3 linked regions of the Schizosaccharomyces pombe genome follow. Changing the gene in region 2 together with the main gene of any one other region gives a genetic interaction. Each region holds a gene or a part of one and is shown on either strand. Other genes may lie near its edges.

Evidence for each region.
Region 1: of upf1 (region 2) and SPOM_SPCC63.13, a mutation in one rescues a mutant of the other (synthetic rescue), as found in Schizosaccharomyces pombe (one study listed by BioGRID).
Region 3: of upf1 (region 2) and SPOM_SPAC11D3.09, a mutation in one rescues a mutant of the other (synthetic rescue), as found in Schizosaccharomyces pombe (one study listed by BioGRID).

Annotation. Positions count from the first base shown.
Region 1 is NC_003421.2:859,834-863,067, forward strand, and holds SPOM_SPCC63.13 (DNAJ (Hsp40) chaperone family protein), read left to right. Parts: upstream 1-1,725; 5' UTR 1,726-1,732; coding exon 1,733-2,359; 3' UTR 2,360-2,626; downstream 2,627-3,234. Other genes in the region: proteasome core particle subunit beta 3 Pup3, read right to left, coding at 1-560; eisosome assembly protein Eis1, read left to right, coding at 2,879-3,234.
Region 2 is NC_003424.3:802,114-805,872, reverse strand, and holds the start of upf1 (ATP-dependent RNA helicase Upf1), read left to right. Parts: upstream 1-1,739; 5' UTR 1,740-1,785; coding exon 1,786-3,759. Other genes in the region: DYRK family protein kinase Pom2, read right to left, coding at 1-877. UniProt on the Schizosaccharomyces pombe protein: RNA-dependent helicase required for nonsense-mediated decay (NMD) of aberrant mRNAs containing premature stop codons and modulates the expression level of normal mRNAs. Also capable of unwinding double-stranded DNA and translocating on single-stranded DNA.
Region 3 is NC_003424.3:120,935-124,688, forward strand, and holds SPOM_SPAC11D3.09 (agmatinase), read left to right. Parts: upstream 1-1,878; 5' UTR 1,879-1,910; coding exon 1,911-3,095; 3' UTR 3,096-3,182; downstream 3,183-3,754. Other genes in the region: SPOM_SPAC11D3.08C (amino-acid permease), read right to left, coding at 1-1,274.

The sequences.
Region 1 (3,234 bases), on a different chromosome or scaffold from region 2:
TAAACGACACAGCCCCATCCACTAATACAATCACGATCTTGGGCGTTAAGTAAAGCTTGGGAGATAGTCTCAAAGAGATCGTCAGGCTCTAAATTGGGCTCGTATACAGACTCACACATACCATAAAGTTGTTCTGTAGCGGTTCCAGAAACGATGAAATCCTCTGCAAAATCGATGCATCCAATGGAATCGAATCCACAGATAAACGGGGTATTGTCATTAGATACACCAGCAACTACTGGGAATGAGAAATAGGGACCAAATCTTTTTTCGTAAAGGGTGGAAGAAACCAAATTAGCAAATGTCTTGGGTTGAATTTGACGCTCTTCGCGGAATTTGTAAAGGTTCACTTTGTACCGAAATAACTCATAAAGCGTCTGAACATCCGTAGCAAGACCCGTCAGTCCCAAATACGTTTTGTCACCCATCGCAAACACCTTAGGAAAGTTGTTGGTCAAAGAAATTGACTGAACACCCAACCGCAAGTCCGATGCAATAGCCACGCAGTTTTTACCTGCCATGGCTACGCATGAACCACCATTATATTCCATAATACTCATTTTGTAGGATTCACTGTTTGTATGAGGAAAGGTTCTTGCTGACAAAAGAAGCACACGAATAACCACAGATGATATGTTATCGCGAGCGCACAATAACCAAATACCGTATTGGATAGGATGCGATAGTTTGATTTACCGTATGTTTAGCGATGCAAGGAGTATATCGTATTACTAGAGCCCTTCCTTTAAAAAATCACTATTGACTTTTTACGATATCCATAATAAAGAGGTATAAGAAGTGAAAATGATAGATCGTAAAGTTCACAATAAAAAGGTGTTCAGAGGTATCACTTAGACTATTGAATAATATTTAATGAGAGAAGAATAAGTCTCCCTGAAATAGCTTCCTCTAACGAGAATGTTGGAATGGCACTAGTGCTGCTACGCTTTGGCTGTGCCATACTGCCACGTCGTAGTCTGTGCATTACCGAGCGATCACATTTTAAAGGAATATCAAGCGAACTTCAATCTAACTACTTTGGCACCACCAGCGTAGCAAATATCTTCAACAACCATTTCATCAGTCTCTGCGATCTAGCAACAGCAAGATAGCTTGAGAAGGAATAACGGCGCACATGCTCGACATACCCTTGTAAAAACTCAATAAACCGATCATTTCATTTTATCAGTGTACATTAAACTGCGTTAGCTGCGCTTTAGAAGAAAGTAGTCTAAGAGAATTAAAAGTAAATAATGCCATATAGCTAACTCGATGAAGGATTGTTAGGACTGTAATCATACAACCATACAAATGCAAGAAATATCGCTATAGCGGGAAAGACAAAAATTGGGTTAAAAAAGGTATTTTTAACCGTTCTTTTGTTGTTTATTCAAAGTCATCTTTATCAAGGACTCTAAATCCAAAAGATATAAATAAACATCCGGAAGTGAAAAATTTGACTTGAGCTTCCTTTCAATCCTATTTGCCAAAGAAATTCCCATACTTTGTCTTCTTTCTATCCAACACTCCGATAAGATATCGCACATAACATCGCTAATTAGCATAACACAAATTAACCTATCGGTATCTATATAACGTGGTATAACCCGTCCCTATGCGATATACCACGTTTATTAAGTTCGTTATTCAGCACACCGAATTTTGCACCACTGCGATATTTGAGAGGCTCATATTGCTGAAATCGTGTGGTATACGTATTCCTCCAACTACCATGTTCAAAGACTACTATGCCATTCTCAACATCACCCCCAAAGCCAGTGCTGAGGAGATAAAATATGCGTATAAAAAGGCTGCTCTGGAGACGCACCCTGATAGAGTATCGCCCAGTGCTCGTGCTCGAGCCACTGAACAATTTCAGCTGGTGAACGAAGCATACTACGTCTTAAGTGACAATTCTCGACGAGCTCAGTACGATCGTGAAAGTGCCTCTTCCTCTGCTAAACCAAGACAATCGTTTTTTTCCCGCACAAACCCTCAACCCCAAAGTCAGAGTCAACAAGGAGGGCCAAGTTTTGGATTTCGCCAATCCTTTTCCGATTCGCAATTCGAGCAGGTGTTCAACGAAATGATGAATGAGACATCGACCAGAGGCATTGCCAATGCCTTTTGGACCATCGTAGGTACGTTAGCTGGTGCGGCGTTGGGATTTATCACGTTTGATGTGCCTGGTGTTCTTGTAGGCTCGGCTGCCGGTGCTAAACTTGGGCGAATTCGTGACACCCATGGAAAAAGCGCTTACAGCGTCTTTCAAGACATGCCTGCAGTAGAAAAAGCTCGCATATTAACCCAATTCCTCTCCCATCTCCTTAATTCTTCCAAGCAGTTCACCTCCTCCTAAACGCGTCTTTTTGTTTACGTGTCGCAAAATTTATTAAATCAGTTACGCGTCGCGCTTTCCAGCACTGTCCACATTTGGTCCAATCAGTCGCAGCCCGTCCCTTTCTCCCATGCATTTTCGGCTCGTCCATCAGAGCGAGTTCGTTGATGTCATGTGATGTCATGTTTTGCAATGATGATGTAACTACTTTTCTTAGTTTCTCATAATGAAAATCGCTCCTTCTTTTTACCTAACTCAGTCTTAATTTCTTGAAATATTGAAGTTTGACGAGTTTTCAAGCTTCTGTCGTTTTTCATATTATTTTAGGGACGAACAACTTTCATTGTTGCTCGACAAGATCCATCTGTCGCCTTGGCTGGTGTCTCGTAGAAAATTTACCTTTCCCGGGTTTATTGGGCTGAAACGCCGACGGATTTGATCTGTTTTCCAAAAATCTTTTTTTGTTTATTTGTTTTACTCTAAAAATAATAGAGGATTGAAAGATACATAGGCATCACAGTACTCTAATATTATTTTGAAATGAGTACTCTTGGGAACTCTACTGTTAAACCCACGAACGCGGAATTTCCCGGCCTCCATGCTATGGAGCGCTACAAACCCGCCACGTCGGAAAGCCTCTATGTGAAGGGACATTACGGTCCCCATCCTCATAAAGAACATCCTGCCGCTTATGTTGCTGCAAAAACTGGTTTTAACGCCACTTCGAGAAGACAATCGGTGCGTGAGCATCACTCCTCTCATGAGGGTTCTGCTCAACTTAACCCCGATCGTATTTTGTATATGTCTGCTGGTGCGGTTACCGCCGCTGTCCCTAATAAGGAGCACACTGATAACGTTACAACTTCTCAAACGATCCGCTATGAAACTTCCTCTCA
Region 2 (3,759 bases):
TGTCTCTTTGGGACGTTAATTTCGTAGATTGTGATGCATGTCCGTATGAACTGCTCTGAATATTATTATTAAAATTGGATGGTTTCATTCGCGAAGCCATTCTTGCAGTATCATCAGCTCTTTTAGAATTTTTTCCGAGGGTTCTGGGTCCATTTACTATAGAAGACCGTGGTGAAGCAAATTGAGAACATTCATGGAATTTCGATTGTTGTGGATATTCATATTTGTTAGTTTCAGAAGATAATGTTTTTTTTTTGTTCATGGGATAATTCGTTCCTCCTGGGGTTTCATCTAGCTGATTAATAGTTTCTTCGTAAGCTAAAGTTTTTGTCTTGCTTAATTTGTTGAGTGGATGTCGGTTTTCGACTGTAGGGATGGTTTCATATTCTTTGCTGGAATTGGGATTAGCAAGCTTTTCTAGTACAATGCGACGGTTTTGAGATATAACTGGGTTGTCTAATTTTCCACTCTGTATGTTGTCATGAAGCGATGCATCTTGTAAACCATCCAAAGTACTCAAATTTTTATTCAGAAAGATTTCTTTTAGATCTGCAAAATGATGCAATCCTTTTTTCTGTGCCAAGTGTTCATCTTTAAAGGACTTCTCTTCTATTCCAACAGCCGATTTTTCTTCATTTTGATCGGGCTTGTTAGGCCTTTTCACACTATTTATTAATTCTGTAAGTATTTTGCTATTGTGTGAATATTGGCGTTGCGATAACAGAAATACGGGCTCTTTAAAAGTAGAATGAGCTCTTAGAGGACTGCATGTCTGTTCAGTCAGATTATTAGGAGAAAGGAAATTAGACACTGGGGCTGAGGAACTTTTACTCTCCTGTTTAGGCAGCGTTTCGCTTGTACTTATTAACCCCACCATTTATAATTGTTGTCGAAGTTGATTAACGTAAAGAAAGTAGAAAAATCAAATAATTAAAGGCACTAGCTGCTTAAACCAGGGTGGGGAAAAATGAAATGTTGTGAAACGAAAAATAATTTTAAAAGAAGGAATTAAACCCGGATTTGGAGAACAAATACTTACAAGTAAATCAACTTGTTAAACGCAGCATTCGAAGTCCCCTCTTTGAAGCCTCTTCAGTTCATGAAGAGTTTGCCGCTAAGCACCACATAAACTCCAAGAAGTTCAGACAATTAAGAGGCCTGAAATTCTTAAAATTATTTCAATTTGGATAGTTTCACACGGGCAGTTGTTGTATAGGTGGAAGTAACACACTCCTTGAAAAGTTCAAAATGGGTAACGGTACACTTGGTATGCTAACTTCCAGAGCGAGTAGATACAACTCTCATGTTAATAAATTTGTATAGAGTCCGATATTAAGTTAAAAATATCTGTTTATTACTTTTCGACAACTGTTAGTCAAAAAATTAATAGTCTTCAATATGATTGTTTACATGGTCTCAGCAACCGTTTATATAATTTTGTTTAATTCCAATAGTGAGCACCGATTTGTGTCACAATACTACAGTGCTCTACCTTATTTAGTAATCTATAGTACGACCAGCTGTTTCAAGAACGTAAATGATCATCTCGAAACTGACAAAATTTATCTACCCTGAATAGATATAATATCTTACAAGTAAATGAGTCTTGCTATTGTTAGTTTTTCCCATTAACGGCGTTTTTTGTTTACGTTTTAGGGAGCTTCCTAGCAGCACATTTTAACTCATTAAACCTCACTAAATGACTAACCTTTCTTTCTAAAAATGTGTTACAATTATTTACACTTTGCAAATTGACGGCTTAATAACATATCAAGTTGTCTTTCCATGTCTTTAGGGCTACAACCTAATAATGATATTTCATCTTTAGTTAGTTCAAAAAATATGACTTCTGAAAATGGACTAGAGCATCAATTTGAAGAATTATTAGTCGAAAAACAATATTCTGAAGAACACTGTGCCTATTGCCACATAAAGAATCCAAATTCTATATTGAAATGTTTGCATTGTAATAAATGGTTTTGTAATGTAAGAGGGAAATCTGGAGCTTCGCATATCATTAGTCACCTAGTTCGTGCTCGACATAAGCAGGTTGCTTTACATAGCCATTCTTCTCTTTCAGACACAGTACTTGAGTGTTATAATTGTGGAACGAGAAATGTGTTTCTATTAGGATTTATACCAGCAAAAGCTAAGACAGTGGTTGTTTTATTATGCCGACAACCTTGTGCTAGAGCTAGCATAGCTAAGGATATGAACTGGGACTTGACTCAATGGCAACCCATTATTTCAGATCGTCAGTTTCTTCCATGGTTGATAACTCCTCCATCCGAAGAGGAACAAAAGCTTGCAATCCCAATCACTTCACAGCAAATGGTTAGGCTTGAAGAACTTTGGCGTAAAGACCCTAATGCTAACCTCGAAGACTTGGATAAGCCCATTGAGGATGATTCATTACCTTCAGTAGAACTTCGATATAAAGATGCTCACGCGTATCAAGCAGTTCTTTCTCCGCTCATTCAAGCGGAGGCTGACTATGATAAACGACTCAAAGAATCGCAGACTCAAAAAGATGTTGTGGTTCGGTGGGATCAAGCTATCAATAAACGATATACTGCTTGGTTTCTCCTTCCCAAACTTGAATCTGGTGAAATTCGGTTGGCCATAGGAGATGAAATGAAGCTTACATATGAAGGAGAACTAAGAGCACCCTGGAGCTCCACAGGATATGTTATTAAAATTCCTAACAACGTTTCAGATGAGGTAGGTTTAGAACTGAAGCGTTCAGATAAAGTACCTATCGAATGTACTCATAATTTTTCCGTCGATTATGTTTGGAAATCTACTTCATTTGATCGAATGCAGACTGCTTTGAGGTTATTTGCTACAGACGGATCACGTCTTTCAAGCTTTTTGTATCATAAATTGCTAGGACACGATATCCCTCCTTCCTTCCTGAAACCAAAATTACCGTCTGATTTATCGGTGCCTAATCTGCCAAAATTGAATGCTAGTCAGAGCGAAGCTGTTCGTGCAGTATTAAGTAAGCCACTCTCGTTAATTCAAGGGCCGCCAGGTACTGGAAAAACTGTCACCTCAGCATCTGTAGTCTATCACCTGGCCACGATGCAATCACGCAAGCGTAAATCCCATTCTCCCGTATTAGTTTGTGCACCTTCGAATGTTGCTGTTGACCAACTTGCTGAAAAAATACATCGTACAGGACTTCGTGTCGTTCGAGTTGCCGCAAAGTCTAGAGAAGACATAGAATCATCGGTTTCCTTTTTATCTCTTCATGAGCAAATTAAAAACTATAAGTTTAATCCAGAGTTACAACGTTTATTGAAGCTACGAAGTGAAAATAACGAATTATCTATTCAGGATGAAAAAAAACTGCGTATTTTGGTTGCTGCTGCCGAAAAAGAACTATTACGTGCGGCTCATGTCATTTGTTGTACTTGTGTTGGTGCTGGTGATAGAAGGATTTCCAAGTACAAATTTCGTTCAGTACTTATTGACGAAGCTACACAGGCTTCAGAACCTGAATGCATGATTCCTTTAGTTTTAGGCGCCAAACAAGTAGTACTTGTTGGTGATCACCAACAACTGGGACCGGTTGTTATGAATAAAAAGGTTGCATTAGCTAGCCTTTCCCAATCACTTTTTGAGCGACTGATTATATTAGGAAACTCTCCTTTCAGATTAGTTGTGCAATATCGTATGCATCCCTGTCTTTCAGAATTTCCATCGAACACTTTTTATGAAGGTACTCTTCAAAATGGTGTCACTACTTCTGAGCGT
Region 3 (3,754 bases), 680 kb from region 2:
GCGATATAAAGAGCAATAATTGCTAAATTAAACACAGAAGAAATGGCAGTGACATTAACCAAAATTAGTAGACCGACTAAAAGGCTATAGAGTAGCACTAAAAGAATTGCATTTAAGGGAACTTTCTGTTTAGTCAAAAGACGTAAGTATCTACTTCCTGGAATCCCGCCGTCTCTGCAGAAAGCAAATACTTCTCTAGATGCAGCAATCAGTAACGAAATGCAGTTCAAACAAAGGGCAATGACCAGCAAAGAGAAAATTCCTAAAGCTCCCTTATTTCCAACATTGTTAACCAGTACTTGAGCTACAGGCTGGCCTAAAGAGGAACCTAGAATGGCATTAAAATCGTGACCCATAGTAGCTACAACGGTGATAACGATGCACCATCCAAGAATGGTAGCCACACCAAGACTGGAAATCATAGCAAAGGGAGCTGCTTTGGCAGCATTCGTTGATTCTTCAGCAACAGCGGCGCTAGATTCGAATCCGCTTACAACCCACACAGGAGTAGTGAATGAAAGTATAAATGCCCATCCCATGTTTGACCATCCAGAATAATTTGTAAAATCACCGAATATAAAACTTCCAGAATTTCTAGTAGTAGAGTCAGATCCTGCGGCAAGGGCAATAATAAGAATAATGGATACAAGGAATTGGAAGGTAATATTAATGATGTTCACCTTCGCGATAACACGAGAGGGAATTGCAGTCATGGCAGAAATCACGAAAAGCAACGCTGCGTAAATTCCGTACTGTTCATATTTTGTAGGTGAATAAGAAGGACTACCTATCACAGCTAGTGCCTGTACCATAGATGATGCAGAGTACACTGTTGAAGCATAAATCGTAGCGTAGCCAAGCACTGACACGTAACCACAAACCCAGCAGAGAAATGCTCTTGACGATGGTGATGCTAGGGTAAAAATCCAAAAATAAAGACCTCCAGAAGTAGGCATAGAAGACGCCAGTTCGCCCAATGATATACTTACTGGAATCAGACATATACATCCAATAATCCATGACCAAACCATGCCTCCTCCTCCACAGTTCATCGAGAAAATGAGTGAACCCGCCATAGCCGGACAAAGACCCATTGATCCAAACGATTGACCAAAAATGCTAACGTAAGAGAATTCTCTAGTGAATTCTGGTTTGTAACCAAGGCTCATCAGAAGCTCATCATCTTGATTAGCTTCTCTGCTTTCGCCCAACTCAACTTCATTTTCCCATTGCTTCTGATTTTGTTTTAAGCTTTCTTTGTCGATGTCACTCATTGTAAATGCTGAATGTGAGTCGTCCTTACAAGCAGAAAACTCTCAAAGCAAATTGGTCTTAGCAAAATTAGCAGCTCGTAAATATTTTATACCAAATATTTTGAATAAGACTAAAGATCTATATGTCAACTCCTCCAAGCCGAAATAGCCACACAAAGCTTGTTTGTCAAAAATTTTATGATCACCGAAAGGGTATATGCTTGCAGAGGCTTTTGTGACTAAATATGTCTTTATTCAAAAGCAAAAATGAATTTAACCATTTTATAAGACTTTAAAAGTTAATCATAAAAGCCCGAATTTCCTCGCCTTCCGTAATTTATTTTCCTTGGAGCGTACAATCATGCCTTTATTTCCAAGGAAATTCTGATAGGCAATAATATCTTAGATCTAACTTAAAGATCCATCCTAATCTCTCGTTATACTAGTTTGTTCCGGTGGATGCTCAACTCAAATGACGAAATCAATCGTTTTTACAGGAATGCTTATTTATATTAACGAAATGTGAATCCCCACGGCAGATTCAAAAATTTCCTTGGAGATATTTGAAGAAGTTTGTATATCTGAAATGTAGTATAAATACCTTATTCATTTCACCTGAAAATGCAATAAACTTCAACAGTACAAACAATTATTCAAATGGCTCTTCAAAGCCTTTTTTTGATTCTTCTCGCGGGTGCTGCTCAATTGGCTCAAGCGCACCCAAAGATCTTTGAGCAATCTCGTGCAAATGCAGTTGAAACCTTTGACGATGCTTTTCCAGGAGATGGTGAAACACAAGCTGATTCCGTTTTTTCGGGAATCGCAACTTTTGGTCGTCTTCCTTATTGGAAATGTCTAAACGACAAAAGTCAATCTTTCGACATTGCCTTCCTTGGAGCACCATTCGACACTGGTACTAGTTACCGTCCTGGTGCTAGATTTGGTCCAAGCGGTATCCGTGAAGGATCTCGTCGTCTCAATCTTTATGGTGGTTACAACGTTCCAATGGAGACCAACCCTTTCAACAATTGGGCTAAAATTGTGGACTGTGGTGATATTCCTTTGACGAGTTATGACAATGCAGTTGCTATTAAACAAATCGAGAATGGCCATTTCGAATTATTAACTCGCAAGCCTACATCTTATTCTGAGAAAGATGGTTATGCATTAGATGGAAGCGTTTTGCCTAGAGTTATCACCCTCGGTGGTGACCACACAATTGTCCTTCCAATTCTTCGATCGGTCTCTCGTGCATATGGACCTGTCTCTATCATTCATTTCGATAGTCATTTGGACAGCTGGAAGCCCAAGGTTTTTGGAGGCGGCAAATCAAGTGTTGGTAGCATTAACCATGGTACTTATTTCTACCATGCTAGTCAAGAAGGATTAGTTTCTAACGATTCAAACATTCATGCTGGTATTCGTACAACTCTCTCCGGTCTCTCTGACTACGATAATGATGCTGATTGTGGTTTTGAGATTATTGAAGCTCGTGAAATTGACACAATTGGAATTGATGCTATTATAAAGAGGATCCGTGACAGAGTTGGAGATGGTATAGCTTACTTGTCTATTGACATCGACGTTCTTGATCCCGCTTATGCTCCCGCCACCGGTACCCCTGAGAGTGCAGGTTGGACCACCAGAGAATTACGTACCATTCTCCGCGGCTTGGATGGGATCAAACTCGTCGGTGCAGACATTGTAGAGGTTGCACCTGCTTATGATTTTGCTGAAGTTACTACATTAGCTGCTGCTGATATCTTGTTTGAAGTTATGTCTATCATGGTAAAGACTCCTGTGTACAAAGAACAGGCTAAACAACAAAGTCGTTTCTATTAGGTGTGTTATAGAGTAGTAAAGTTTTTGGAAACTCAACTTAAAAGTTATCAAAAATAATATTAATTTCGAAAATTTCTCAACATATGATTAAATTTGCTATAGTGTCGAAGCTTAGAACAGTAAGTGGACAGTGTAGAATTTTGTTTTATTTTTTAGTATACTGTAAAAAAAAACTTCGTGAAGTATAAACCTAGAGAAATAACAAAATTTGCATATTTAATTGTTGGGAATTGCGTTACCATTATATTTAGCATATATGAATAAATGAGTTGGTGCACAAATTTTATAATCAAATCGTAATCCTTGGCAAAAAATGTTCGTACCATCAAATACACTGTTATCATTTTTAAATTACCAATGTCGATTTTAAAGCAGCGTTTTCTATGTTCGATTGCTTCTTATCTTACTACCGTAACATACATATAAATTAATATAAATTAGAAATTTAACCATTAAATATAATCAGTGCTTCAGTAAAATATAAAAATTCCATAATATAAATCCAATTTACAAAAATTTGTTTATTGTATATATTTTTTGACAATTATTAGAAATTAGGGTCCAAGGAAGATGAAAAATATTCCATAGTGATACCAGTATAAATAAATACTTTAAACAAAGCACACAAATATATACCTTGGTTGTTTGTAAGACAATTA